Linked DNA regions of Macaca mulatta. The protein of the gene in region 6 interacts with the protein of the main gene of each other region in a pairwise test. Links are inferred from orthologs where the notes say so. Each region holds a gene or a part of one and is shown on either strand. Other genes may lie near its edges.

Region 1 (2,992 bases), on a different chromosome or scaffold from region 6:
ATAGGGAGAGAGAAAGCCTATCTTACCTGTTGCTTTCTTACTTGATGGTAACATCCAGCAGTTAGCCTATTTATAAACATAATTACTTTTTCACATATGAACCATAAAATATTTAACTTTCTGCTCTATATTGTTTGTTTACTGCTATATCTCCCACAGCTTGAACAGTACCAAGGCATGTACAGTAGGTGCTCAATAAATGACTACTGAATAAACGAACATATCCAACAAATGTTCTCAATGTAAAGGATCAGAGATGCCACATGTTCTCCTTGATGGGACAGGCCTTTCCACATGGGAATGATGGGAAGGATTTGTACTCCTGGATGTTCAGTAACTGCTTCCAGGAGAAAAGGTAGAGTCCTATCACTAGGCCACAGATACTTATTTGTGTTTGGCTAGAATGGGATGTTTGTTTTGAATCTTCTGGTACAAACTTGGGAACGTGGCTGTTATTTCAGTTTATGAGCCATAACTTTTCACATCCCGAAACTACAAAAGAGAAAAAGAGCCTTATTAAGTATCATGCTTTCCCAAGACTGCCTTCAAAGAAATATGAATCAGGACAACCTGTGGTCTAAATAATGTCGTCTTAAAACAAGAGTTTCTTTTGACTCTTCTGCTAAAATAGCTTAGAAAAAAGTCTACTTGCAGACATTTGAGAGAGAGAAAGGACAATAAAGTGATTTTCTGAATGGGAATGACAGAGCTCTGGGAAGCCAGCTACCACTGAATCTCACTTAAAGTTTAGAGTTAGAAGGGGTGGTCCCCTCCTTTCACCAATGTGGAAGCTAGGGACCAGCAAGGCGGGGTGCCCACGGCTGCACAGCTAGTTCATATCAGAATTGGGAATGGAAGGCACACTGCCTCCCAGCATAGCAATACATAACCTAGCAAAGGACTTAACACCTATCTCACTGTCAGGTTTTTTAGTATTTTATGATGATGATGATGACTTCTACTAGAAAATAATCTTCATTAAAATTATTAAAGATGGTCACACCTCTATCTCTAAACCTTGTTTATATAAAATGAGCGTATTTGGACTATATGATGGCTAAAGTCTTCTTCCAGCTCTAGAATTCTGCAACTCATTAAAAAGTCACCCACAAAAGTCTACTGAGTTACCCAAGGGTTGCTCCTACCTGCCCAGAGTTCCACCAGCCTGGGTATAGTATTTGTTATAATCTAGTCGTAACAGTAGTTGAGCCAAATCTGAGTTGATCTGATGATTCCGAACACTGGAGAGAATCTTGAATAGGAGTGAAGACTGGCGGCTAAAGCCCTGCAGAGAGAAGGACTCAGCTGTCATTCCACTTCAGCTCACCAACTCTCCATATGGAGGATGGGGGCGGAGGGAGGAGTTTCTTGGAAAAGCCTTGCTCAAAATTCTACAGAACCACCTGGCCTTCCCACATTCCTATTTCTATTAGTTCTTAAAATGACTTGTACCAAATCCATACATGCATGACTTCCTATGAAAGTACTCTTTCACCAGTAGGAATTTAGTAGCTGGTTTCCAGTTAATGTATTTTGTCAAGTACTGGGGTTGGGGAGAACCCGTTTTGATTACAAGCAGATAATTATCTCAGTGAGATAGGGGTTAGTTCAAGGAAGTAAAGAGGGGTAGGATGTGAGGAAGTTAGAACAAAGCCAATGCTTATTTGATGGGCTGAATAAACTATTCAGGACTGAACTATTTTTGAGCACTCTGAGGTAGCACAGTAATTACCTGATTCAAAATCAACTGATACCAACATTTTTATCTTTATATCTTATTTCTGTACGTGTGTGTATTGAGGAAATGCTTTACTGACTCAGAGGAAAGATCATGAATTCTCCATTGACAAAACCACCTCTGTCCTTTCGGCAAGGCTGCATACTTCCAGGCAGACGCACCTTCACGAGAATGCTCAGCTGGGCGGCTCCACGCTCATCCAGTGGGCCTAGGTTCTGACTGACCAGCGAACAAAAACTGTGACAGAGATCTAGGATTTCATTCAGGCAGTGAAACACCTACCCAGGAAACAGAGTTGGCATTAGGAAAAGAAGGAAGGTACGTCCATGAAATTAAAGATTTGGGAGAACAGTCTGATTAATAGCTGACCTCCCAAATCTGAGAGGATAGACACTGTCACTTGCAAGGCCTGCCAGCCCCTCAGACATACAATATGTGTAAAACAAATGCATCCTTTCCTGCGTACACGAGTATTACTCTCTCAGCCCCGCACCAAACCTCCATTCTAGCCACATTTAACTCTTCATTTCTTAGACCCGCAGAGTGTGTTCCTGCCTCTGAGCTGTGAGTGTTGTTCTCTTTGCCTGGGATGCTCTTCTTTTTAATACCAGTTCAAGTCCCACTCTCTCAGTGAAGCACTCCCTTCCCCACTGTAGCCTTTAGTGAACCCCGTTTCTTGCTTCTTTATTATCTGTACTGTTGTCCACTTGGCAATTGTTCAGGCCTCTGTGTTGTTAATGATTTCTGTATGTATATATATGTCTTGTTTTTCCAACTAGATTGTGAGCTCCTTAAGGGCAGAGCCATGAATTATACCTCTTTGTATCCCCAGTGCCTTGCATACAGTAAGCACTCAATAAATATTTAATGATGATGACCTGCTCTGATACTCGGCTTTTCCCTATGGATACATCTATGCCACATAAGGACAGCATCGACCCATCACAGTAGTTCTTGGTTGTTTTCAACCAGCCCTCTGAAATGGCATTTATTAATATATATCTTCCTCTTCCTGGGCAGCAGAAATAGCCCTAAACACCAGAACATTTTTAAAAGTCTGTAACGGCTGTGCTGTAGCACACTGAGGAATAACAACCAGCTCATGTCAGAGAGGAGGCATGACCGTTCCATTAGAAACTACCAGAGATCATTTCAATCTTCCTGTTCTTTATCCTGGAATTGAAACTAGCTTGTGAGCTTTAAAAAAAATTGGTAGCTGGGTCCCACTGTTTTAGGGATTCTAATTTAAGTGCT
Region 2 (4,130 bases), on a different chromosome or scaffold from region 6:
TTCCTGACCCTTCCCAGCCTCATCCTCCGTCTCCCCCAGCTGTGGGACCTGAGAAGGGGTAGGGATTTATATCCTCACACCCATGCCACTCCGTGTCCTCACAGTGATGGGACCGGTGGAGGCAGCGCCTGAATACCGCGTCATCGTGGATGCCAACAACCTGACCGTGGAGATCGAAAACGAGCTGAGTGAGTGCTGGGGGCAGGCGGAGACAGCCCCCTGTGACGCCCCTCATGCCCCCTCCCTTCCCCACGGGCCTTTCCCAGGGTCCTGCCGCTGAGCCCAAGCTCAGATCGAGGTTCACCTGCTGTAACGGAGTGGTGTAAGTAAGAAGGAAGTGTGTTCTCCCTCACGTATGAGTCTGAGCGAGCACTCGGGGACGGCGTGGCTCCCTCGCGTATGAGTCTGAGCGAGCACTCGGGGACGGCGTGGCCGCTTGGCTGCCCGTAAGGCCCCAGCCCTTTCCATCTTGTTGGTCGGCCACCTGCCTCGTGGTGCGAGGGGACTGCCCCACGTCCAGCCGTCGCCTCTGCATTCCCACCAGCAAGGCACTTCTTTTTTTTAAGAACATGTCACTGCAGCTCACATTTTACAGACCAGAACTAATTCCCCTGGTCACACCTAGCGGTAAGGGCGGCTGAAAAATGGAGCCTGTATGCTGGTGCCCGTATGCCAGGCTACAAGCCAGGGCTTCAGTTACTAAAGGAAGAAGGGGACGTGGGTGTTAGGGCCAACCAGCAGAGTCTGCCTCCCGTCTCACCTGACACCCGCCTGTCCCGTTTACCCTAGACATCATCCATAAGTTCATCCGGGATAAGTACTCGAAGAGATTCCCTGAACTGGAGTCCTTGGTCCCCAATGCACTGGATTACATCCGCACGGTCAAGGTGAGAGCAGAGGAGGAGCGGTGCTTCTGCTGGTGTGAAGGTGCAGGCAGGGCTCACTCTTGGACCCGCCCCCAGAGGCCTCGGGGTCTGGAGGTGAAGGAGAGGAGTGGACGGAGGCTCAGTGGCCTGCTCTGCCCAGGGTGAGAGGGACGGAGCCTGGATGGGACTTTCTCAGGGCTCCCCTCGTACCCCAGTCTCCCGAGAGGGCTTCCCCGCTGGCCTGACCCGCGCTGCTTCCGCTGTGGTCGGAGCCGGTGGCATTGGAGTTGACATCCGAAGGTCGTCACAGGGCAGGCACGCGGAGATTTGGGGGAGAGAGATGTGTTAAGTATGGAGAGCCGGAGAGGGAACAAGCGGGGAGGAAGTGAGGCGGGGAAGGAGGGGACGCGGAAGAGGTCGGATCACACTGAGCCTTTGGGTCTTATGAGAAAGCCAAGGAAGGGTTTCGGAAAAGAGGGGCGGATGCAGGTGAGGGCAGGGAGAGGAGGCGGTCCCCACGTGTGTCCGGGAAAGGATCAGGATGGTGGTGGGGGAAGCCCCCGCAGGGAAGCGAGGCCGCGGGTTTGTGCTCCGACTCGACACAGGCAGAGGCTTGTGAGGCCGCGGTCTTCCCAGACGCTGCTCTGCCCAGGTTCCGTTTCCAAAGCAGAGCAGACGGTGTGGATGCTTCAGGCGGTGGAGGCAGGAGAGGCCCCCAGTGTAGAGACCCTGACTTTCCCAGTGTCCCCGAGAAGAGACCCGAGTAGGTGCAGGGCCAGAGAGGCTCTCAAGCCTTCCTGAGTTCCTGAGCCTCCCCTGTCTTCTCTGCTCGCGCCCAGGAGCTGGGCAACAGCCTGGACAAGTGCAAGAACAATGAGAACCTGCAGCAGATCCTCACCAACGCCACCATCATGGTCGTCAGCGTCACCGCCTCCACCACCCAGGGGTATGTCCGCTGGAGGGAGGCGCCGGGCCCGGGCCAGTGGGACTGGGGATTAGGCTGAAGCTACCCACGCAGGTGGGCATACACACACACGCACACACACACACACACACACACGTGCACACACACACAACTGAGAGGGTGGGTGCTGGGCACCAAGCAGGCGGGAGACCCAGGAGGCTGGGCCCACCCGCCCCTGCAGGCAGCAGCTGTCGGAGGAGGAGCTGGAGCGGCTGGAGGAGGCCTGTGACATGGCGCTGGAGCTGAACGCCTCCAAGCACCGCATCTACGAGTACGTGGAGTCCCGGATGTCCTTCATCGCGCCCAACCTCTCCATCATTATTGGGGCGTCCACGGCCGCCAAGATCATGGGTGAGGCCCTGGGCTGGGTCCCATGGAGCGGGACTCTGCTGACACTGTGATCTGGGGGAAGCTGCTTCCCTTTTCTGTAGAATGGGGACTTTGGCACCTGGGCCTCAACACCCCGTCTCCCTGGACGTGACAGAGGTCAGCCAGCCTGGCACACAGCAAAGCCTCGTCTGGGAGAAACACTCACCCACAGCTCCTCCTCCCTCCCCTGTGCCGGAAAGCCAGAGATGACCACACCCAGGCCCTGTTGTCAGGGGGCTCCTGGTTTGGTGAAAATGGTTCCAAAACACAGACATCCCTGGAATGGGGGTAGTGTGGCTTAGCACAAACGTGGTGGTCAGTTGCCTGTTGGGGGCCTCCTCCCTGCACCCCAGGCCAGCTGCCCTCCCTCTCTGAGCCTCCTTTGCGTCTGCCCCTCGCGGAATGGGCCAGGTCGCCCGCCTGGCAGGGCCACCGAGGAATCCAGCCAGAACCTCACGTAAAGGTGCTTGGCACATGTCGAGCCCCCAGGCAGATGTGCGCACCCCCGCCTCCCCCGCTTTCTTCTGACCGCCCCTGTCCTCCTCCCACCGCAGGCGTGGCCGGCGGCCTGACCAACCTCTCCAAGATGCCCGCCTGCAACATCATGCTGCTCGGGGCCCAGCGCAAGACGCTGTCGGGCTTCTCGTCTACCTCAGTGCTGCCCCACACCGGCTACATCTACCACAGTGACATTGTGCAGTCCCTGCCCCCGGTGAGCCCACCGCGTCACAGCCCCTCCCCCGGCTCCCCTGGAGCCTTCCGCCTGCCCAGACGGCCTGAGCAGCCACCCCCACCATCTGGCCCAGCTGACAGTAGCACTCAGGAGCCGGGGACAGGGTAGCATGGGATGTGAGAGCCAGGGTTCTGCAGCACACCTGTCGGGTGACTGTGGGCAAGAGGCGTGAGTGCCCTGTGCCTCAGTCTCCTCCCCTCGAAAATGGGAGCACAGCGCCTGCTTCACGAGTTGGGGCGAGGGCTCCATGTAGACGAGGCCCTCACAAGGCAGGCCTAGCTCACGACAAGCAGCGTCGGGTTAGCAGCTGCTCCGAAGGCCACCGTCACTGGAAAGACACGGAACCCCTGAGGGCTGCTGTGCTGGGGACTGTATAACAGATTAACATTAGCCACAGGGAGAGACACACAGGAGGAGCAGGAGAGGTCACCAACCTCGGAGGGCGATGTGTCCTCTCCCCGCAGTCAGGACACATCACCCTCCCGGCATCGATGCCTGACAGCACACACAGGGCCGCCAGCCTCACACCCGTAATCCCAGCACTTTGCGAGGCCGAGGCGGGAGCATCACTTGAGGCCAGAAGTTGAAGACTAACCTGGGCAACATAGTGAGACCCCGACTCTTTTTTTTGTCTTGATTCCAATGGGATTGGAAACACCCTGTCTCTACAAGAATAAAAAACCCGGTGTGGCAGCGCTTGCCTGTCATCCCAGCTACTTGGGAGGCTGAGATGGGAGGATACTTTGCGCCCGGGAGGCGGAGGTTGCAGCGAGCCAAGATTGCACCACTGCACTTAAGCCTGGGCCAGGGACGCTTGCCTGGGCCGTGGTGTTCAGTCTTTATTGTGGCTCTGCTGTGTAGACACGACTGTGTTGCCGTGTGGCTGGTCTGTCTCCAGGTCAGGTGATGCCCCATAACTCAGAGCCCCCACGCTGAACCACGTGGTTGGGCTTTCCTGCGTGGCCAGCCCCAGGCACCCTAAACCACACTGTGGCTACCCCAGGGCCCCAGCCAGCAAGGACCGCCACCCAGGACCCCCGGGCAAAGGCCAAACCTCTTCCTGGGCAAGGCGAAATTCTCTGCCACGCGGAGCCGCTGCCAGTGTTATTCCTGTGACTGTCATCTTCAGTATCATTTGATTCTGTGGCAGCGAGTTTCACATCATCCTCCTGATGTCTCCTAGAACACAGGTCATCTC
Region 3 (3,088 bases), on a different chromosome or scaffold from region 6:
GGTGCCGCACGCCACGCTGCTCAGCGGAAGCAGGACTTGTATAGAAATGGGCGTAGCAGTCGGCGGGAGTGGGTCGGGCTGGGCTCCGCGTAGGCGGGCAGGGCAATTCTTTGGTTAGAGAAGACCATAGAGCTGGGTAGAAGACGAATTTAGAACACAGCGGCGGTAGGAGGGCAGGATGGCTATCAGGCACACGAAGGAGCATTGAGTGGCAGAAACGAAATGCCTTCAGAGGGCAGGGTTGAACTGTGGCCAGAGTTAAAAAGGGGAGGAACCTGGCTCTGCGTTGATTGGCGGAGGCTGGACTCAACCTAGAATAGGGGCCGGACTAGGGAGAGCGGGATCCAGCTCCGTGCCTATTGGAAGCTGGAACCACTTACAATAGCAGGGGCTAGGACAAGGTAGGGCTGAGATGGATTTAGGGTAACGATTGGGTGTGTGAAAGGGTAAACCTTAGGGCCCTTTGATTGTTGTGGGAATGAACAAACCTCCACCATGAATTGGCCCATTCTCTATGGCAATTCAATGGGTGGTGTCTAGGAAAAGGAATGGAAGGGTGAGGTGGGGGCCCAGGTTGCCAAAATGACAGGAGAGAGGGCAGTGCACAAGGTCAACTGGCAAATGCTGCCAGGCAACAGGCTGGAGGCAGGACTGTTGGGGCATTTTAGAGGTTCCACAGAAAGAGACTGGATCTCTGGGTCTCTCAGTAACTTTGTGCCCTAGGAACAGGCCCCCGTGGCAACCAGCAGGGTTTATGGGGAAAAAGAAGGGCCATGTGACTCAAAGGCATTCAGGCTCTTTAATGTCTGAGGATGGGGGGAAGAAGTCAATGGTGAGGCTTCTCTGGGAAATTCTGCAGGCCTTGTAGTTCTCTAAGCCCCTGAAAAAGAGGACAGAAGAGACTGAACAAAGATTGAGTCTGGGTTACGCCCCCAGGCTTGCTCTGACCTCCCTCCCTTGACTCCAGTTTAAAGGGAAAGATGGTCCTTCCCTTCTTTCGCTCTCCCCCTTCTTCAGGTCACCACCCTAAACACAGAGTCTGGTAGTGGGGTGAGCTGCTCTCACCTCTAGCAACATGTGGATATGGGCTTTGATATTCATGGAGTCCTTGGTGAGGCTGTTGCTGAGCCTAGAGAAAAGAAACAAAGGGCAAAATGGTCCCCACTTATGAGTATGAGGAGGACCCTTCCTTATCACTTCAAGATCTACTTGTATCTTGGATGATTTCCACCTGGCTCACTCCTATGCAGAAATGCCAAGCCACCATCTGGTTTTCACTGATTCAAAGATTATTAAATGCCTACTGTATGCCAGGCGATTTTAGGCACTGGGGAGATAGCAGCAAACACAACAAACAAAACTCCTGGCCTGATGGACTTCAAATTCTTGTAAAGAGAGACAGACAAGAAAACTGATGGAATAAAAAATGTTGTGTCAGATGGTTCTAACTACAATAAAAAAATTTAAAAATGAGAGCGAATAAGGAGTATGGGAGTGGGGGGGCTGCAATTTTAAATAGAGGGCTCAGGGATGGCTTCACTGAGAAGCACTTGAGTAAAGACTTAAAAGACAGTGAATTTTGAGTAGGGTGGCTATATGGAGGATGTGTTCCACACACAAGGGGCAGCAAACACAAAGGCACTGAGGTGGGTGTGTGCCTGGCATGTTTGAGGTGCAGCAAACAGGCCACTCTGGCTGAAGGAGAATAAGTGAAGGGGGAATGTAAGAGGTGAGGTCAGAGAGGTAATGAGGGAGGCAGACTGTGTGAAGCTTACAAGGCCATGGTAAGGACCCTGGCTTTGACCTTAAGTGAGATGGGAGCCAAGGGAAGGTTGTGGCAGAGGAAGGAGGTTGAATTACATGAACCAGTCAGTTGACTCCTTTTCTCTAAGCCAGTTTGGATCAGATCTCACCCAAAAGAATCCTAATTGATATAAAGGGTCAAGGAAGGCCTTTCTGAAGAATGAAGAATGAGAAGGAACCGAAGAATGCCTAATGGTTAAGCAGTAGGAAGGCCTTTTCCACAAAAAGGCCAAGAGGCAACAAAGAGCTGTTTGACAGGCAGTAAGGTCAGAGCATTAGAAATTAAGTGAGTGGTGAGGGAAAGTGGCGTAAGACAAGGTCCAAGAGGTAGGAGGAGGTTAGATCAGGCAGGGTCTTGATATAATGATAAGGAATGTGGATTTTATTGTGCTGTCAATGTAGGAGTCAGTTTGAGGGGTAAATGAAACTAAATACTGTTGGAAAAGTAGAGAGCAATAAGACAGGATGTTAAATTGGGAAAAAAAAGTAGTATGAACCCATGCATATACCAATATCTCCCACGTTTTTATTTCTAGCCCAGAACTCTCTCTTGAACTTGACTAGGAGTTTTAATGACATCTTCTAAAACTCCACTTCAGTGTTTAATAAGTACCTCATACTTAACAGGTTCCAGACTAAACTCCTGACCTTCCCCTCCAAATCTACTCCTCCCCTATCTTCTCCATCTCAGATAATGGCAACTCCATCCTTCCAGCTGCTCAGCCAAAAACCTGGACTCCTCTCTCTCTCACACTTCACATCCAGTCAGCCATTCTTCTTAAAATCACGACTGTTCATTGCAGGTAATGCTTCTGATCTCCATGATATGGTTTCTCCATAGCACTGTCAACATCTGACATACTACATCATTCATTTATTGTTTATCTCCCCTGACTAGAATGTCAGCCGTATGAGGGCAGATTTTGGTCTTTTTTGTTTCCTGCTCTATCCCCAGGGACCAGAACAGTGTGAGGCACAGAGCAGGCACCCAACATATGCTGAATGAATAAGTGATTACTCCATTCAAAGGAACCTGAAGTTGGTTGAGTGTACGTTTAGGGACAGGAAATAAATGAAGTATGGGTGTTGTTGCCAGAGAGCAAGAATACTTTCAAGAATATTCTGGGGGTAATACTTAAAGAACGGAAGAATGAACCTGATCAGCTCCTAAGGGACAATTTAAACATCAAAAAAGAGAACAAAATTAGTTAATGGTATCAGCTTAGCTTATGAAAACCTATGAGTTCAACATTTTAAAAGGGAGAAAAATAGAGTTCACTAAATG
Region 4 (4,711 bases), on a different chromosome or scaffold from region 6:
TGAGCCACCCTAGTGCAGGCAGTTCGGGGACAGGCAGGGTGCTGGGGGCCCAGCACTGGGGTCCTCGAGGCCTCCTGTACCCTGGCTGCCCTCCCAGCAGAGAAGCAGGCTTTCGCCCATTTCATGGAAAGCACCTGTGGCTTTGTTCTTCATGCTGAGCCGGCACCCTCCCCAGATGGCTGCCAGCCCTCGCACCGCCCCAGCTGACCCAGGGGGTTCCCTGGAACAGGTGACCTGGCTACCCAGACACGATGGCAGCCCCCACAACTTTCACTGTCCTTTTGCGTGGGCCTTTCTTGGCATAAGACCAGCCCCCATCTTCTCCGTCTGTCCCCTCACTCCCTTTCCTTCGTCTCTGTGGCAGCAGCGCCCCCAGGCCCTTTGCTCTCTGGGTTTCACTCCCTCACTGGAAGCACCGTGGGGCCTCAGCCCTCGGCACCCGGCAGACAGGACGGTCCCATGGCCGGCCGCGCTCCTGAGCATGTGTTGCTGTGCCTGGTTCTCTAGCAACTGGTGCCTAGTCTCCTGGTGGCCACTCTGACCTGTGGGTTATTTAGTGGTATATTATTTAATTTCCAAATATTTAGGGATTTTCCAGATACCTGTTACTGATTTTTAGCTTCCGACATGGTTAGAGAACATGGTATGTGTGTTAATTCCTAAGGACGGACACCACAGGGAAATCACTGGGGTCCCTCGTTTTACAAGCTGGGGAATCACTGGGTCATGAGGGCCTGGTGCCAGCTCGGGCCCACTCCCCAGCAGGGCCCAGGACGGCGTTCCTGCCTGCACACTCGCTCATGCTGCTGGTGAGGGGCCCAGCCTGGAGTGTGGCATTCCCAAGAGCCCCAGAGGACCCCTAACTCCACTCCTCACTGCGTGATGTCAGGCCTGAGGGCCGGGGGCTGGGAACGGTTAGGCGAGCTCCGCACCAGCTTCCTGGCCTTCCAGCCTGGCAGCCCCCTTCTCGAAGCTGTTGGGTGGCAACTCGGTTCGACCAGCTTTACCGGTGAGGCGGGGCCTGGGGGCTCCCCAGCCTGCAGGGATGAGGCTCCAGCAGCCCCACGCTGAAGTGCATAGTTCAGGGCAGACCCTGCTGCCCGTTGTCTGTGGATGGGGGGCGGGCTGTGCCCTGCCATCACCGGTGCTTCTGAAGCTGGTTTGGGGGACCCTGGGAGTGGCCTCAGTCCTCACGTGCATCCTGGAGAAGAGCAAGGATGCCTCGTGACAAGGATAATGATACCGAGCGACACTTCTGAAAGGGACGCTTCTCCCCCGTGTGCAGCTGGGTGGTGGCCGGTGCCATGGCCCCTGGCAGGCTGCAGTGGCCTCCTGGGCTCCATAAGGTGGGCTGCAGCCCTTTCATGACCAAGGCGTGTGCTGGGCATGCTGTGTGGCTGTGTGCCCCCTGCACATGCCCTGCCCCGCTGTCCTGAGATGCCGGCGAGGGCAAGGGTGTCCGCACAGGGCAGAGCATGCCCTCCTGAAGAAGCCTCCAGAAACCTATGACCAGGTCAAAGCGGCTGGGTGCGGTCTGGCCTCGTCCAGCCTCCTGGGGGTCTCTGCTGTCTCTTCTACTTGCCAGGTGCCCGGGCTGGGCCTCTGGGGCATTCTCAGGACCCCTGGCCCCCGGCCAGGCTGGGAGGGCTGAGAGCAGTTTTCCTGTGGAGGGCAGAGGACTTCCACTTCCGTCTGCCTCTCGGGGCCTCCTGGGCTGCACGAATCAGAAGGCAGGCCACCAGGGACTGTCCCCCTGTGGGAGGACTGGCGGGACTGTGGAGTTAAGCCATCAGGAAGTGCACAGGCGTCCGGCACGCTCCTCCCTCCCTGCAGCCCCAGGCAGCATCTCCCCGAGGCTCCGCGTCCCAGGCTCCTGGTGCGTCTGCCGTGCAGGTGGCTCCTTGGAAGACCCTCAGGTGGGTGGGTCTGGTACTTTTCTGAAAAGTGACCAAGAAGGTCGGCGCCGGCTTCGTTCAGAATCCTGGCGCTGATCCCCGCAGAGCAGCATGAGGCTTCCCACAGGCAGCCAGGCAGCCTCCGCCGCGCTGCCCCATCCCTTTCATGGCCACTGGGCGGAGACATGTTCATTTCAGTGGCATTACGGTGGCAGGTGGGACCCTGCATTTCAGGCTGGGGAGGCAGGAAAGGGGCCCAGTGTTCCCAGGACTGTCCGCTGTGTGGCCGGTGTTTCTATTCAGCCCCTTGTCTGTCAAAACTGTCCTGAATGGGGTGACAAAGTACAGTGGGAAGTTGAGAAATTCTTCAAAAGACCAAGACCAAACACTTCAAAAGACCAAGTGTCTCCAGGAGTAGTGACCCAGCTCCTTTAGGCAGGAAACCAGCATTTCCCAGTGGGGCTGGAGGCTGAGGACCGGGGACCTGCGTGGGAGGCAGGACCATGTGGCTGTTCCCAGCCTTGCCCCAGTCCCAGAGGGAGTGGCTTTCAGCGGCTGAGGCTTCCACCGTGCTGGCAGAAAGGGACAGCAGTGGCTGGGCTGGTCCCAACATGGGTAGTTCTCTTGTTTCAGCCAGTGGGATGGGGGTCGGGCCTCATCGGGGGCAGGAGAAGAGTCCAGAGATTGACGGGTGCCCGTCACCTAAGAACCTGGAGAAAACAGCACAGCAGCACTCCTGGCCAGCCAAGGGCAACACCGACAGCCCCTCCCAGCTTGCGGGGCCGGCGGGGAGTGACAGAGGCACGCTCCTGTGGGCAGCTCTTCCCGGCCAGTGCAGCGACCCTGGCAGCTGGGGCAGGGCTGGGTGGCCACTCTTGCATCATCAACAGCCGGCCATGGAGGAGGGAGGGCACAGCGCGGGATGTGAGCAGGCGTCGGTCAGGGAAATGGGGAAGTTCCGCCAGAACCGGCTCCCCCAGCTGCTGCCCTAGTGGGAGGGTCATTGGCCAACCTGCTCTCACCCAGCTTGGGCTGGCCGTAGTGCCAGGCAGGTGCCCACAGCTCCTCCACCCATGGAGGTGGCTGCCCCTGTAGGCTCCAGGGCGTGGTGGGAGTGTCCAGGAGGCGGAGGCCAGAGGCGAGTCATGCCGTGGAGGCAGTTCCTCTCTCAGACCCCATCTGTGTCTCCCCCGCTGCATATCTGGGTGACACGGATGGCCAAGGGGCAGGAGCAGGGGCTGGGAAAGGCTGTGGAGGGGCCCTCGGCTGGTCTGGCGGGGAGCGGGTCACTGTGTCTCTGCCGCCTCCCTGGGGGATCCAGCATGGGGATGGGACATGGAGCTGGGTACCTCTCCTGGATGCCCCTGGGCTGACCCCCTCGACAGCCCTGACGAGAGCCCTGGCCCAGCGTCTGAGAAGGAGCGGGAGCCGGGCCTGGGTGGGGGCAGGAGCCGGCGTCACTCTCAGCGGCTGCCCCACACCCCCCAGCCTGCCTGCGAGGCCATGTCGGACTACGAGAACGATGATGAGTGCTGGAGCGTCCTGGAGGGCTTCCGGGTGATGCTCACGTCGGTCATCGACCCCTCGCGCATCACGCCCTACCTGCGGCAGTGCAAGGTCCTGAACCCCGACGATGAGGAGCAGGTGCTCAGTGACCCCAACTTGGTCATCCGCAAACGGAAAGTGGGTCAGTGCTGCCCCGCAGGCCCCAGGTCCCAAACCCAACCAAGGAGCCCGCTTGGAGGTGGCTGCACGCTCTGCCACCCTGACCCTCGACCCCAGGAGAGCCCCGCCTGGCTTTGCCCCTGGCCTCCCAGTGAGGCCCAACCTCAACCCTGGCACATGGCCACCCTATCCCCCAGCCTCTCCTGCCAGCTCGGTGCTGCCAAGAGGGGCAGTGGGACTCCCACCACAGCGGGGGCTCCTGAGACAGCCAAGGGATGGGTGGACAGCACTTTGTCCCCAGCCTAGTACCAAGACCCACAGGGTGCCTCATCCACGACCCAAACCACAGCACACCTCATCTGCATCCCAGCCTCCACCTGTCCCTGCCCCCGGGCCCACCCACCCCAGCCCTCTGCCTCGCCTGTGCCCCGCCCCCAGTTAGGCCCCTCTGGCCCGCAGGCGTGCTCTTGGACATCCTGCAGCGGACCGGCCACAAGGGCTACGTGGCCTTCCTCGAGAGCCTGGAACTCTATTACCCACAGCTGTACAAGAAGGTCACGGGCAAGGAGCCGGCCCGTGTCTTCTCCATGATCATCGGTGAGTGACGGGGAAGGCGGTGGTGGGGGCGGGCAGTGGTGCTGGGTCCTCTGCCCAGCCCCCATCCCTAGGAGCCCTGAGCTCCTGCCACAGCGCAGGGCGTGATAGAGCTGGGCCACCGGGGAACACAGGCACCGTCTAACGCTGGCGCGGCCCACAGACGCGTCCGGGGAGTCAGGCCTGACTCAGCTGCTGATGACCGAGGTCATGAAGCTGCAGAAGAAGGTGCAGGACCTGACCGCGCTGCTGAGCTCCAAGGATGACTTCATCAAGGAGCTGCGGGTGAAGGACAGCCTGCTACGCAAGCACCAGGAGCGGGTGCAGAGGCTCAAGGAGGAGTGCGAGGCCAGCAGCCGTGAGCTCAAGCGCTGCAAGGAGGAGAACTACGACCTGGCCATGCGCCTGGCACGCCAGAGCGAGGAGAAGGGTGCCGCGCTCATGCGGAACCGTGACCTGCAGCTGGAGGTGCGCCCACTGCCCCCGGGGAACCAGGCCCCCCTTGCCTGGCCTGGTGGGGTCTGCAGGCTGGGGCCGTCGGGGGTGGCCCCGTGGGT
Region 5 (4,657 bases), on a different chromosome or scaffold from region 6:
CTTATTTACAAAATAAGCCATTTCTTTCCAGGATGTTGTATTTTTTCCAGGCTCTTGTCTTTGTGGGAACACATAAAACAGTTTTAAAATACTATGGCATATACTGTTTACTCTGCCTCTAAGGGTTCTATCCACTAGTAATCTTTATCATTTAATTTTCTGAATGTCTGCAGTATGAGGCACAGTCAAACTTTATCCAGTTGTTTACGTCCAGCTCACACGAAACTAAGCTGTTACCAGTATTAATATCTCTGTGCTCTCTCTCTTCTTGTAACCTCTTCAGCAGTACACTTATACCTCTTTAAAAGAATAAGGTAGTTACTTTTCTTACTATGACTTGTACATAAGAGCAATGATCTTATTCTCACATTAGACTGAATTATACCTGAGGGGACAGCTACATATTATTCATTTATGTAACATTTATAGATTCAAAGGTAGTAACTACACATGTGAAATGTCAAGAGGTTAATTAGTCTATTGAAGCAAATTTCTTGAATCTTCAACAAATATTGAAGTCCTTTCTTGTGATACACTGTATTAGATACCAAGGACTAAAATATGAGTTTCCTTCTAATTGCCACATATCTTTTTTTCTTCCAGTGACCATAGGTGTATGGGAAAGGGAGATGCATTTGTAACAGTTAAGCTCTGAAAGTGACATAGTCTTGTTTATCTAGTATAGAAAAATAGTTGCTCCTTCAGATACACTCTCCTCCCCACTGCATGTACACTGAAGCTGGAAATGCCAAGCATAAGCAAGTCTTGACTAGGTCTAAGGCTATAACATTTACAATTTTATATATGGGTAGTGATTAAGAAGTATATTCTTAGCCACAATGTAGCCTCTAATAAATATCTGCCACTAATACATTTGTTTATATCTAAAAATAGTAAATAAATGGACAAATCCAACCTATCAAGAAGGGTTTTTTAAAAACAGCCAATTTTCTTACTAGGAAACTGCAATTAGTTACTTGATATTAGACTATTTTTCATTTCAGAATTTAAGTCTAATACCTGATGTACTCTTATGATAAGAAATCATATTAATGCTGTAGTAGACAAAATTAATGTTTTGGCTACGTGCTGAAAATAAAAAAGGTCAAGTTTGTGAGTATCAGCCAAAAGGTAACAATTCCATCTCCAAAACACACTGAGCAAAATTACAAAAGTGTAGCTTCAAACATACCTTCATTTTAGACAGGAATCTGTCCAGTAAATTCACAGCTAGAGAAAATGTCTCTGTGTCGAAGCCAAAGAACTGAGTTAGACTAAGAAGATCTTTTACTTCAAAGTCCCTTAGTCTTGCAGTCATTCTGAGGCCATTATCATGTGCAGACTCAATTAGTCTCAAGCCACAGACCTTTGGCTGACATCTAGACTCCTGTTCCAACAGGGCATTCAGCTGGTGTAGCAGTTTCTGAGAGTCAGTTGTTGTCAGTACCTCTATCATCTATATATAGAAAAAAAGACCAGAAAGGAGTGTAAGTAGTCCTTCCTGCTTTCCTTGGCCATCTTTGCACTGGGCCAAGAAATGATTTATAAGTCTCCCATCCCCCAATGCGGCTAGTGCATCTAAGTCATTGCAAAGTGCCATCTGTTATTTATTTCCCTTCTACAAGTTGGTCACATCCTAAATGTGTGTTTTTTTTTTTTTTGGAGACGGAGTCTCGCTCTGTTGCCAGGCTGGAGTGCAGTGGCACGATCTTGGCTCACTGCAACCTCCGACTCCCCGGTTCAAGCAATTCTCCTGCCTCAGCCTCCCAAGTAGCTGGGATTACAGGGGTGCGCCACCACGCCCAGCTAATTTTTATATTTTTAGTAGAGATGGGGTTTCATCATGTTGGCCAGGATGGTCTCGATCTCCTGGTCTCGTGATCCGCCCGCCTCCGCCTTCCAAAGTGCTGGGATTACAGGCGTGAGCCAGCGCGCCCGGCCGGAAACATGCTTTTTAGAAAAATAAAATGCAAATCTTCAAGAAATACTTGTTCAACTTATACCTTGTCAATAGATAACCACGAATAATCACCGTAAGACAGGATACCGAAAGTGAAAAGCAGATGGTAGTTAAGTATTCTGCCACATTTTAACAACATGAACGGTTCAAGTTACTTAATTGTACTTAGTTCCTCATTTATAAAGTAGTGATAAGGTTTATGACCTACCTCACAGATTTGTGTGACCTAAATGAAATCACGTAAAGAGCTTAGCACATATAGTAGGTGCCTAAAAAACACTGAACAATAATGAGCTTGAGCTTATTTCTAGATTTATAAAATGAGGGTAACAATATCTGTCGCTGAATGTGAAGAGACAACAAGATTCACCACTTACAGAGTATAGCACAGTTCTTGGCATACAATACTCAATATTAGTCAACTTTTATTGTTGTTAGGAAAGGAAACTTAAAAGGTGGCATTAAGAGCACGCACTGGGGCGGGGGGCGGTGGGTGTTGCTAACCTAGTCTGAAAGGTGAACCTGGGAATTCCATTGATTTAAGTGTGCATAACACAACCATGTCCCGGGCACAAGCTAAGCCCTAGATACACGGAAGGTCCCTCTCCACACCAACCTAAAGACAGGAAGGCGGAGATCTTCAGAGTTGGTCATGTGAGGAACCTCTAACTGCAGGGGTTCCATTCTTCCTCCCCTGGCTACTCCCTGGGACTGGGCCGGCAGACACTAAGGCACCCCAGGAGGCCGGATCCGGCTCCGCCCCTCCAGCCCCGGACTAGCCTGGGCTTGTGCTCACAGCAGCGGTAGAGTTAACTGCGGAAAAGGGCGCGGGCCAGACCTACTCCTCGCTCCACGTCCCCAACCCCGCTCCCCACCCGCACCTGGCGGTCAACCCCCGCGCAGTCCCACTCACCTTGACAGCGACTGCAGCTCCTCAGCGGTAACCACCCTCCCCGGGCCTGCTCCCCTCACCCCACGATATTAGATCCAAGAGGACTACGAGGAGAGGTGACTCGTAGGCAAGAGGAGAGAGGCCCGGGGAGGGGGCGCTGTCCTGGGTGGAGGTCTCGGCAGCGCAGCCGAGACGACTTCGCCCTGATCAGGGTCAGCTCGGAGCCGAAGGGGCCGCGCCTGCCCTGCAGAGGAATATATTGGAGGGCGGGGCTTTCTCGCGAGAAGGGGGCATTTTCAACTCTGATTGGTGTAATTCTTTTGATGGATGGCCTCCGCTATCCGTAAAAGGCTGGGCCGTGGAGTGAGAAGCCCGGCCAATCAGCTCACACTTCCCGTTATCTGGCGTCAAATTCCCCGGCCCTCTTCCACGCCCCTACCTCTAAGCGTCTCTCATTGGAGAATTTAACAAAGTGTCTTCATTCAGTAGGGGGCCGAACTAAATACTCTATGCACCAACCCTTGCCTGGGTCAGGTCAATCGGCTGCCAGCCGGATTGGCCAGCGTATCATTCCAGAATGTACTGTTTGTTCTGTGGGGTTTAGGAGTTCTACAGTGGTTCTGCCCTATCTTTCTAAAAATACAGTGAGTAGTTAAAAAAAAAAAAAGTCAACCTTTGATTTTTTTCATTACAGATAAAGAGGTAGTGGAATTTATATAGTGTGGTGGTTTATCAACTTCCAGAGTGCCCTCTTCGTGAACTTTGAAAGTTAGTTGATTCTTGCCTTAGTTTGCTTTTTGTACAATTTATCAAATAATGGAGTTGGACTGTGTAATTTCTTGACCCTCTAGCAATTTTCTGAATTTGCTTTTAAAGCAAATTTAAAGAGAAAAGTTGGTACAATTTTTCAATTGCTTAAAATGAAAGGTGTGTGGCAGACTGTTATCAGGAATAATTGTGGTGAGTGTGAATCCCAGTCTACAGAACAGAATGTAAAGCAATATTACTCTTTTTATTTACTGTAAATAATTTAATCTCTATGAACCTCTCCTATGCCAGGTTAGTGGGAAAATAATTAGCCTGAACTCTTCTTAGACTCTCCTCACTCTCGCTCTCCCAGATCATCACAAGTGAGAAAAGTCCATTAGTAAAAGGGCCTGAAAAAGGGTGCACAAGGAGTCAGTTCTAAACTCTTATGAATTACACAGTAATTGGATTGTCTCTGTTCTCATGGCCCCAGTTCAGTCTCTCTTACTTTGACAAAGTGAAAATCTGGAAGATTTGCTGTCACCTCTGCTGTTTGCCCTGCCATGTACTTACCTAAGGCAATGCCACAGAACAAAACTCTGGAAAGGGGGAAAAGGGGTGGGGAGGAAGGGGAAGGAAAAACAAAAGAAAACATTAATACCTCACAATAATACCTTAGCCACGTAATCAGGTCAGTTTAAAAAACTGGGACTCAAATGGGGAAGAGGCCTTTCTTCCTCTTGAAAATAAAAGCTTACCTAGTGAATATAAATTGGCAATTTATAACCTTTAACAAATAATTTTATTTAAAAATACTTTTTGCTCTAACGTGTGAGTTTATAAATGTGATTTCTCCTTTTGCCTTTTAGTTCCTATTATTAATTCCTAAAATTAGGAATGTATGTGCACAATTTTTAAAAAATGGCTATATTAATTCCTAAAATTAGGAATGTATGTGCACAATTTTAAAAAAATGGCTAAAGCATCATAAAATCTTTATGGCAGACTGGGCACGGTGGCACACACCTATAATCCCAGCACTTTGGGAGGCCGAGGCG
Region 6 (4,130 bases):
AAAATTTGTTTTTCATTCTATATCTTGGGAACTAAGATGGTAGCTTTTTTGTTTCTTCTAAAGAATGGCTGAAGTAGCTCCAACAATACACTTAAATGACTTCTCCTCAACATCTCGGATGAGGTTAATGAGAAATAAGAAGCAAAGGAAAAATATCGACTATCTATAATCAATAAAGCAGGTGAATGCAGGCAGGCTTGGCTTGCAGAGTTTTCTGTGCTGCTCACCAAACTGTCGAGAGTTTGGTATAAATAAGGTACATGACTGCCCTGTGAGAAGGCACGTCCCTCTCACCTGCTTCAAGACCTCTATGTAATCCACAATCCACACCCAATGCTCCATGTTCACTTTTGCTGGACAGGTAAGGTAGCAAAAACATTTCTAAATGACAGGGAAAAATAAATCACTTGCACATTCTCAAAGGAAGTTTCCAAGACTTCAGACCTTTGGACCCATAGACCTTTGTCTGTGATTTAGTTTCAGTAACTTCTCTGGCAGTGATTTCCAAACTTTAGGATATCATGGACCAGTCAAATTTGAAAGCACACTTGGATCTGCTAACATTTAAACAAAATTTAAAAGAGGAATTACAACAAAACAAAGTAAAAAGGAGACAAAAACGCTCCAGCGGTCCAGCAACCATCTGTCACCCCCAAATTTCTTACAAAAACCAATATTTCAAATCAAATATAGTAAAAAGTACACACTCTTAATATGAAGGACCATCCCCTGAGTTGAATAAAATTAGCTTTATTTAAAAATTACCATGTCATCCTGAGTTTCTTTCCTTTCTGGCAGGTCCATGCAAACTTTGCCAGGATATAGGAACCACTGTATGACTTGATCTAATGCTCTATGATTTTATATGACTGATCCACTCCTTAACAGGAAACTTAGTGAAATACAGTCACATCATATTTATCACTCATATATCAGAATATCTTTCAAATAAATAAGTTTATTTGCCTTTTAATGAGAAACCAGGTAGGAGGGCCCAAAAGATAGGTTTTGATTTTAATGAATATATATGCCTTATCCTAAATCTTCTGCCCTGGGGCCTCAAAAGTGGAGACAGGGTGGGTTTTGATATTAATTTTCCCTTAAAAGGCAAACAAGTAGTTGGCAATCTGATCGTATAAAAAGATCATCCCAGCACCACCCTTGTGGAGGTTTTTGTACACTTCAGGGAAAGGAGGTAGCAAACGTTACCTTTGGAATGCACATTGTGGGCTCGGACAAGCGAGGGTAGGTGTAGGAGTTGTAGGAGTGTCCTTGGGGATGGGTTTTAAATGCACTTGCTCCAAATGGCATCATCGGTTCCTGGAGCCCCGAGCCTGACCTGGACCTCTGCCGCATGGCGGGCTGGGGGCTCGTCTGATTCAGGTACGAAGACTTCGGCCTCCTGTCATAGTCATCCAGGCTGGGTCCCCATTCACTTTCACTGTATGCCAAGCTCTCCTTGGAGCACCCGCTGGTCCCTGCAGTTCTAGAAGGTGTGAATTGGAATGAATAATCCAGAGGGGAGCTACTCGAGGCTCTCTGATACTCCCACTTGAGGTCACTATATTCACTTGGTTTGCTCAGTGAGTCCAAATGTGAGTGATAATCAGCAGAAAATCTGGCGAAATCGGATTTCAAAGGCTTCATCTCAGAATAGTAGGCCTCCCCGTGCTTCATTTTCATTACGTGCCCATTTTGTTTGGCTGCATGGCTGCCTCTATAATACGGATCCAGATCGTCTCCATAGAGACTCTTCTCCCTGTACTTTTCGGTGGTGTAGTCAGCAGTAGTATCGGATTCGCTGGAATACTGGGAGAAGGTGATGAAGCCATTTTCTTCCGCGTGGCCTGGACCGTGGCTGGAGGCTCCCTGATCTGGGGTGGGTGGGCTTTCTTTCCTTAGGGAGTTGGAACGAGTCACCGAGATGTTGTCAAAATCCTCTAGCAGGCCGTTGATGGAGGTTTCCTTGCAGGGTTTGTTTCCTCTAACGATTGTCTGGGGATAATAAAAGGAATACTGTTTGAGGAAAATATTTCATGACTTTAAGTTGACGGCGGCATCCCACCCCCACTCCATCCAGAAGGAAATTAAACTACAGAAGGAAAAAGACCCCAGGAACACTTAATACAAAATGACAAAGAAAAAATCGTTGATTAACTGTAGTGGTGAAATAAATGAAATAGTAGACAATAATCTCAAATTGCAATTTTCTTCCTACCTATCTCAATAGAGACATCAATTAACCACCAAAAAGCCATGTACGAGACTACATAGGCTCTCACTGTTTCATTTACCAGTTTACAGGCAAATCCCTTCCCCCTGCTTCTTCTACCTAAATAATAAGCCCCAACCATCTATAGATGAGCTGATAATTACAATTTAACACTCTATAACTGTTTGGTAATAAAAAATAATATTTATTACTGTTTTACATTCATTATTCAGATGATTTTCAAAACCAGAAGGCATTGTCGCCCAAGTATTAACATAACTAGAAATGGGTGTACATTTTTTACCCTTATATGGAAGACACATAATAACTGAGGTTATGAAATTTTATAGATGAGGAAGGCACTTCTTGAAACTGTAATTAGGAAACAGCCTGAAGATTATTTGTGTGATTTATGATGAAATGTGATATTCTTATTAAGTATATATACTTATACTATACAGCTTGTTTGCTCTGGCCACACTTCTGCGTAACATCATCGCTGAATTTTGGGTGGCTTAGTAATGATGGTTGCACCTGGATCTTAGTGACAAATTGTTCCCTTTAATGAACCTAAATAACACAAGAATACCAGGAACTGAAAGACATCGCAAACCACTTACAAAACCGTCAGCTGTTCCTTGACAATGACAGGATTCGCAGGAAAATATGATGGGGGTGGATAAAAGAACAAAGAACAAAGTGTTGTGACTTCAGACTTCCAGGATTTTAGGAGAAAAATACCTTTGAGCAACTAGCAAGGAGTTCAAAACCATCTTGGATGGTACAATAGAAGACTTCAAACTGGAGGAGGAAGTCAAAGTTTTCCTGGAGCTGATGTTTTATAAATCTATCCATGGTGAAACAGAGGCTTTATTTTTTTTTCTCTCAGAGTCCTGGACTAATGCTTTTGTTCTATACCCTTTTCTTTCAAATACATTTTTTGTTCTAGAATAGTTTTAGATTAACAGAGAAGTTGCAAAGAGAATACAGAGTTCTCATAGACTTCTCATCCAGTTTCCCCTTCTGTTAATATCTTGCATTGCTATTAAGGAAACTCCATGTTCCTATAGATTTCATTAATTTTCTTCTAGCGTTCCAGAGTTCTATCCAGGATATCTCGTTACATTTATTTGTTGTCTTCCGAGTTTCCTCTGATCTCTGACAGTGTCTCAGATTTTCCTTATTTTTTGATGACCTTGACAGTTTTGAGGAGTACTGGTCAGGTATTTTGCAGAATGTTCCTCAGTTGGGGTTTTCTTGTGTTTTTCCCATGTTTAAACAGAGGTTATTTGGTTTGAAGAGGAAGACCAGAGAGTAAAGTCACATTTCATCACATGATGTTCAGGGTACATAACATCGACATGACTTAGTAATGATGATGTTAGCCCTGACTACCTGGGTGAGGTCGTATTTGCCAGGTTTCTTATACACACAGTCCCACTCCCCTCCCCTAGCTTTCCATATATTGTATTATTTGGGAACAAGTCAATAAGTGTAGCCTCTACTCAAAGGGCAGGGATTTAAGCTCTGTCTTCTGGGGTGTGTGTGTGTATGTTGCGGGGTATCTATATAAAGTAGTTGGAATTATTCTGCACAGACTTGCTTATTTGCTCCCATTTACCTACTTATTCAATTATCTATTTATCTATAAGGATGGATGGACTCATGGTTATTTATTTTATACTTTGGGTTATAAGCCAAAACTATGTTATTTGCCTTGCTGCTCAAGTGGTTCCAGCTTCTGTCACTGAGAGTTCTCTCAGGCTGCCTGCTGTGTCCCTTTCACAATCCCTCTTCCTTTTATTTTTCGAGCACTTCCTGACTTTCTGTCACTACAAGAAGCTCCAGGTTTATCTTTTATTTTCCCTGCCCTTCCCCCCAAATCAGGCATTTCTCCAAGGAACCCCAACAGTATTAG
Region 7 (4,216 bases), on a different chromosome or scaffold from region 6:
ACGCCCAGGCTCAGCCCAGCCCGGCCCAGCTGGTGTCTGACCTTTCTCCCTCTAGGAGCAGCACGGGTTGAGGGTGAGGATGCTGCTGCACGGCCCAGCCCTGCTCTATTCCGCCGGATGGTCGCCTGAAAAGCAGGCCCTGCGCCTGCCCCTCAGGTGAGCCCACCTGGGGCTTTAGACAGGCCCCACCAGTCCCTGGAGGCTGGGGCTAGGGGCCACACAGCCTTCTGTCTTCCCAGCCCCATTCTGGGCTCCTCACATCTTCCCAAGCATTCTTTTGCCAAATGGAGCCAGCAAAAAAGGCTGGAGGTGGGGTGAGGGCCGAGAGCCTGAGGAGGAGTCTTCAGGAGCTGCCTACTTGGCCAGCCCCATGGGCTCCCCACACGCTGCACAGCCCCCCTTTCACAGCCCACTCCCAAGGGACCCATAGCTTCCTGCCTCCTGCTTGCCTCACCAGCTGCTCCTAAAATAGTTTCAGATGTTTCCTGTCTTGAGTAGCTCTTGCTCCTGGCTTGGGCTCCTGATGGCCTGCCAGCACCCTCTCTAGTCCATGCCAGGCTGCCCACTGCCTGCCACTGCTCACCTCTCCAATCTCCCCTAAACCCCACCCCCACTAGGGTGACAGAACTGGTTCAGCAGGTGACAGGCCAGGTACTTGCTCCTGGGCTGCGGGTGTTGGTGCTGGAGCTGAGCTGTGAGGGTGAAGAGGAAGACACTGCCTTTCCACCTCTGCACTATGAGCTGTGACAAGGCAGCCACCCCATCACCTAGCTCAATGGAGCCCTGGATCCCAAGCACTGCATTGTAAGCCCACAGTAGGCACTCAATAAATGCTTGTTGAAGGAAGGCATAGTGGAGAGGATGGATGATAGAACACAGTGCACTAATGCACACAGGTGTGACATGGGCATGACAGGGACCTTCACACAGAGACAAAAAGCTCTTCAGATTTGTCTGCCTGGGCAGTGCCTCACAGGGCTGGGGCTGCCTCTTAGTGCCTCAGGGGTATGAAGCCAGGACAGTCTAGAAATAAGGCTTTTATTGTCCCAGGCTGGAGGGCAGGGTCAGAGGTAGCTGACATCATTGCAGATGATGGGCTGGCGACTACGGCAGCTCATGAGGGCTGCGAAGCGTGAGACATCCGCAGGCATTTCAGGTTCTGGGCGAGGTGGGCATGACAGCCGCTTTCCTGCCATAGCTGTCCGCCGAGCCCTGGCCAGCCGGCGCCGAAGCTGCTCGGAGAGGCCAAGCAGGAACTGAGGGGGCCGAGCATGGGCACGGTGCCCACCTCCATCACCTCCTTCACTCCCTGTCTCAGGCAGCTCCATCCAGTTGTGCACCAAGTCAGCAAAGCAATTGTCCCCCAGTACCAGGGGCTGGCGACTGCGACCCCTATTCAGTAGGGCTGCTGTCCAGTCCTCTGCTTCCAGTCCCTGCCAGTGCTCCAGGCAGGCGTCTGGGGTGGACTTGGGCCGTGGACGGTGGACAGGTGGTACACTGGCTACAGGGGCCCTGCTGGGCATGGGGAGGCCACTGACTGAGAGGCGCTGCCTACGAAGGGGCTGTGCTGAGGGTGCTGGGCGCTGGGGAACAGGTAGTTCTTCCTCTCGCCATGTGCTGCCTGACACCTCCGAGAAGCCAGAGTCCCAGTCCAGGGCATGCTCCCTGGGGCCTCCCAAGGCTGCACCCCTGTCTTCTGTCACCACTGCCTCTTCTTCCTCCTCCTCCACACAGCAGACTGAGTCTTCTTCCAAAGCACCTGAGGCCCTAAGCTGGTGGCGGGGCTGCACATCTGGGCCAGTTTGGGGGGTTGGCTGCAGGGGACCAGGCATCGGGGGTGAGCCTGTGTCCCGACCACACAACTGAGGGGAAGAGAGGGCAGAAGTCAGAGAGGTATCACTTGTCACCAGGTCAGCCCAGAGTACAGAGGGTCCAGGAGGGTTAGATAGGCCTGCTGGCCTGGGCAGCAGGGTGCTAGTGAGCACAGGGCAGGCATGGGGTGCTGGCACTCGAAGCTGGTGTGGTTCTCATTCACCGACCTGGTGGCAGTCCGGCAGGCTGCAGCACGCAGGGCTGGGCAAGTCGACACCCGCCACCAGGGCGGGCGGGCGGGCAGGCAGTGTTGTGGGCCTGAGCAGGGAAGTAGGTCCTGCCCAGGACTGGAGGGGGATTCAGCTCCCAAAGCCCAAAGCGTTTTTCACAGAAAGAGCGCTTGCTAGGTGAGGGGTGGAGAAGGGAGGCATAGGCCAGCCTGAAGTACGGGGCGTTCACCGCAGTGCTAGCACCTCGTTAGTCCCTTGCCGCCCCATGCCCCACCCCCAAAGAAGTTCCCCTTCCACTCTCTCCTCCCGCGCCGTTCCAGCAGCACGGCCAGCTGGATGCTGTTATCTGATGCTCAGCGCAGTTCCCAACCCTCCGAAATCCGACGCGGACCATCTGAGCCATATGAGCCGCGCCGCCCCCACCCCGCGCCGCCCCCATCCCGCCTCGGACGGGCACGCTGCAGCCACCCCGCACCCGTCTGCTGTTCCGGCCGGGCAGCAGCCTGGCACCCCGCACGCGTCCTCCCTAACCGCACCCGCTCCCGAGCCTCACCAGTTCCCAGCGGAGCTGGCTGAGGAAGCTGTCAAGCCGAGCGCTGTGCATGTCCGTGCCGGGGCCCCAACTGAGCCTGCTGGCTCCTCTGGGAACCCCGGCGGAGCCGCGCGGAGAGGGCTGGGCGGGCCGGCCAGCGGCGCCCTCAGCCTCCGCCTGGCTGCGCGGCTCCTCGCTCTCCGTAGCTCCCGCCGCCGCCGCCCCGACATCTGGCAGCCGCGCCCCGCCCCGGCCCCACGGCCAAAGGGGGAGGGGCTAAAACCCGGCGTCCCTCCGGACTCCGCCGCCGTTCTTGGGGGAAGGGCGGGGTCGTAGCTGGAAGCCGGACGGGGTCGGGCCCGGGATACCCAAGCCCCCAGATGGTTGTGTGGACCCTGCATTTGCTGCGTGACGCAGGACAGGTCGCCTCCGTGCGGGGGCCTCATCCTCCCCATTTGTTCAATGGTGAAATAGCGGTCCCTCTAACGGGGCGTCATGCTGCGCCCGCACATAGGCAGAGCGCCCCGTATGGTCGGACCCAGAGAGGTTGTGGCCCACTCGGGGCCTGACCCACGGGACCCATTCCTGAGGCTGGCCTCGGCACTCCCTGAACAGGATGGAAGTGGGGTTCGGCCTGAGGACTCAGAGAGGGTGGGACTTTGTGGCAGCGCACTGGCGGGGCCTCAGCCGCGTTCCAACCGAGCTAGACGGGACTGCCCTCTAGTGGGGAGTGCTCGGCTAGTCGCGAGTCCAGCGGCGACCCGCGACCATCGGCATGCCCTCTGCCGGTACCAGGTGCAGACTGAGGGTGGGTGCTGGGGTGAGCCTGTCTCCTGAGGTTGCTCTATCAAACAGGCTAGGCTCAAGAGTAGTGTAGCTGCAGACAGACTGGACATACCAGCTACAGGAAAATACCAGGGAATGAGGGCCATGGGCTAGCCTGGGGAAGGGCAATCTCAGAGGAGGTGACATCAGGATGCAATCAAGAGGAGGGGCATTCTAGGCAGAAGGAGCAGCCAGGGAAAAGACCCCGAGGGACAGGAGCTGGACAGGGCCAAACATAAAGAAGGCCCAGGTGTCTGTGATTGGTGGTGGCGGCAGAAGGGAAAAGGTCAGCAAAACCAGGCTCTAACGGCCTTAGAGCAGAATGTGGGTTTTGTTCTTGGTGTGATGAGGAGCAATGGGGGCCTCTGAGCAGGAATGACCTGGGCTAGCTCTTGTTTAGATAATCCCAGCTGCTTTCAGAAAAGGATTCTGCAATAAGAGTGGAAGCCCCTGCCGTCATCCAGGCAACGAAGGGGAGGGCCTAGGCCTGGGCAGGGCAGGTGCACTGAAGGGGGGTCACTTTGGGGTATGCTTTGGAGCTAAAATCAAGTCTTGCTGATGCATGGATGTGGGCAGGAAAAGAGGCATCAAGCATGACTCCTACATTTCTGGCATTAACAGCTGGTTGGATGAAATTGCCATAAACTGATCTGGGAAAGACTGGAGAAGAGTGGATTTGGAGAGGAAAATCCAATGATCATTTATGGACATGTAATCCTTGAGATGCCTGATAGACATCCAAGAGGAGTTGCAGAGTCAGCTGCTAGGTGTATGACTCTGGACTTCAGGACAGAGATCAGCACTGGAGCCTTGGATC

What was found.
Region 1: the proteins of PAK5 (region 6) and TUBGCP4 interact in a two-hybrid assay, tested with the Homo sapiens proteins (2 studies listed by BioGRID and IntAct). The two-hybrid records come from large-scale screens. The link is inferred for Macaca mulatta from reciprocal best matches to the Homo sapiens genes PAK5 and TUBGCP4.
Region 2: the proteins of PAK5 (region 6) and PRPF31 interact in binary tests that used the Homo sapiens proteins (3 or more experiments, as listed by UniProt). The two-hybrid records come from large-scale screens. The link is inferred for Macaca mulatta from reciprocal best matches to the Homo sapiens genes PAK5 and PRPF31.
Region 3: the proteins of PAK5 (region 6) and UXT interact in binary tests that used the Homo sapiens proteins (3 or more experiments, as listed by UniProt). The two-hybrid records come from large-scale screens. The link is inferred for Macaca mulatta from reciprocal best matches to the Homo sapiens genes PAK5 and UXT.
Region 4: the proteins of PAK5 (region 6) and CARD9 interact in binary tests that used the Homo sapiens proteins (3 or more experiments, as listed by UniProt). The two-hybrid records come from large-scale screens. The link is inferred for Macaca mulatta from reciprocal best matches to the Homo sapiens genes PAK5 and CARD9.
Region 5: the proteins of PAK5 (region 6) and CCNG1 interact in binary tests that used the Homo sapiens proteins (3 or more experiments, as listed by UniProt). The two-hybrid records come from large-scale screens. The link is inferred for Macaca mulatta from reciprocal best matches to the Homo sapiens genes PAK5 and CCNG1.
Region 7: the proteins of PAK5 (region 6) and INKA1 interact in binary tests that used the Homo sapiens proteins (3 or more experiments, as listed by UniProt). The two-hybrid records come from large-scale screens. The link is inferred for Macaca mulatta from reciprocal best matches to the Homo sapiens genes PAK5 and INKA1.

The regions. Positions count from the first base shown.
Region 1 is NC_133412.1:20,787,369-20,790,360, reverse strand, and holds part of TUBGCP4 (gamma-tubulin complex component 4), read right to left. Parts: intron 2,017-2,992; coding exon 1,900-2,016; intron 1,286-1,899; coding exon 1,146-1,285; intron 493-1,145; coding exon 480-492; 3' UTR 1-479. UniProt on the Homo sapiens protein: Component of the gamma-tubulin ring complex (gTuRC) which mediates microtubule nucleation.
Region 2 is NC_133424.1:66,350,715-66,354,844, forward strand, and holds part of PRPF31 (U4/U6 small nuclear ribonucleoprotein Prp31), read left to right. Parts: intron 1-104; coding exon 105-188; intron 189-784; exon of another isoform or gene 785-789; coding exon 790-887; exon of another isoform or gene 888-974; intron 975-1,076; exon of another isoform or gene 1,077-1,705; coding exon 1,706-1,812; exon of another isoform or gene 1,813-2,011; coding exon 2,012-2,181; exon of another isoform or gene 2,182-2,476; intron 2,477-2,753; coding exon 2,754-2,911; intron 2,912-3,074; exon of another isoform or gene 3,075-3,527; intron 3,528-3,986; exon of another isoform or gene 3,987-4,111; intron 4,112-4,130. UniProt on the Homo sapiens protein: Involved in pre-mRNA splicing as component of the spliceosome. Required for the assembly of the U4/U5/U6 tri-snRNP complex, one of the building blocks of the spliceosome.
Region 3 is NC_133426.1:47,674,922-47,678,009, forward strand, and holds the end of UXT (protein UXT), read right to left. Parts: intron 1,130-3,088; coding exon 1,066-1,129; intron 881-1,065; coding exon 827-880; 3' UTR 781-826; downstream 1-780. UniProt on the Homo sapiens protein: Involved in gene transcription regulation. Acts in concert with the corepressor URI1 to regulate androgen receptor AR-mediated transcription. Together with URI1, associates with chromatin to the NKX3-1 promoter region.
Region 4 is NC_133420.1:6,136,275-6,140,985, forward strand, and holds the start of CARD9 (caspase recruitment domain-containing protein 9), read left to right. Parts: upstream 1-1,432; 5' UTR 1,433-1,505; coding exon 1,506-1,916; intron 1,917-2,428; exon of another isoform or gene 2,429-2,510; intron 2,511-3,082; exon of another isoform or gene 3,083-3,230; coding exon of another isoform or gene 3,231-3,383; coding exon 3,384-3,582; intron 3,583-4,019; coding exon 4,020-4,157; intron 4,158-4,317; coding exon 4,318-4,622; intron 4,623-4,711. UniProt on the Homo sapiens protein: Adapter protein that plays a key role in innate immune response against fungi by forming signaling complexes downstream of C-type lectin receptors.
Region 5 is NC_133411.1:172,255,487-172,260,143, reverse strand, and holds the start of CCNG1 (cyclin-G1), read right to left. Parts: upstream 3,085-4,657; 5' UTR 2,874-3,084; intron 1,457-2,873; coding exon 1,193-1,456; intron 1-1,192. UniProt on the Homo sapiens protein: May play a role in growth regulation. Is associated with G2/M phase arrest in response to DNA damage. May be an intermediate by which p53 mediates its role as an inhibitor of cellular proliferation.
Region 6 is NC_133415.1:74,413,937-74,418,066, reverse strand, and holds part of PAK5 (serine/threonine-protein kinase PAK 5), read right to left. Parts: intron 1,996-4,130; coding exon 1,210-1,995; intron 1-1,209.
Region 7 is NC_133407.1:113,277,272-113,281,487, reverse strand, and holds INKA1 (PAK4-inhibitor INKA1), read right to left. Parts: upstream 2,849-4,216; 5' UTR 2,822-2,848; intron 2,777-2,821; exon of another isoform or gene 2,754-2,776; 5' UTR 2,647-2,753; coding exon 2,596-2,646; intron 1,863-2,595; coding exon 1,065-1,862; 3' UTR 1,022-1,064; downstream 1-1,021. Other genes in the region: UBA7 (ubiquitin-like modifier-activating enzyme 7), read left to right, coding at 56-156, 618-747. UniProt on the Homo sapiens protein: Inhibitor of the serine/threonine-protein kinase PAK4. Acts by binding PAK4 in a substrate-like manner, inhibiting the protein kinase activity.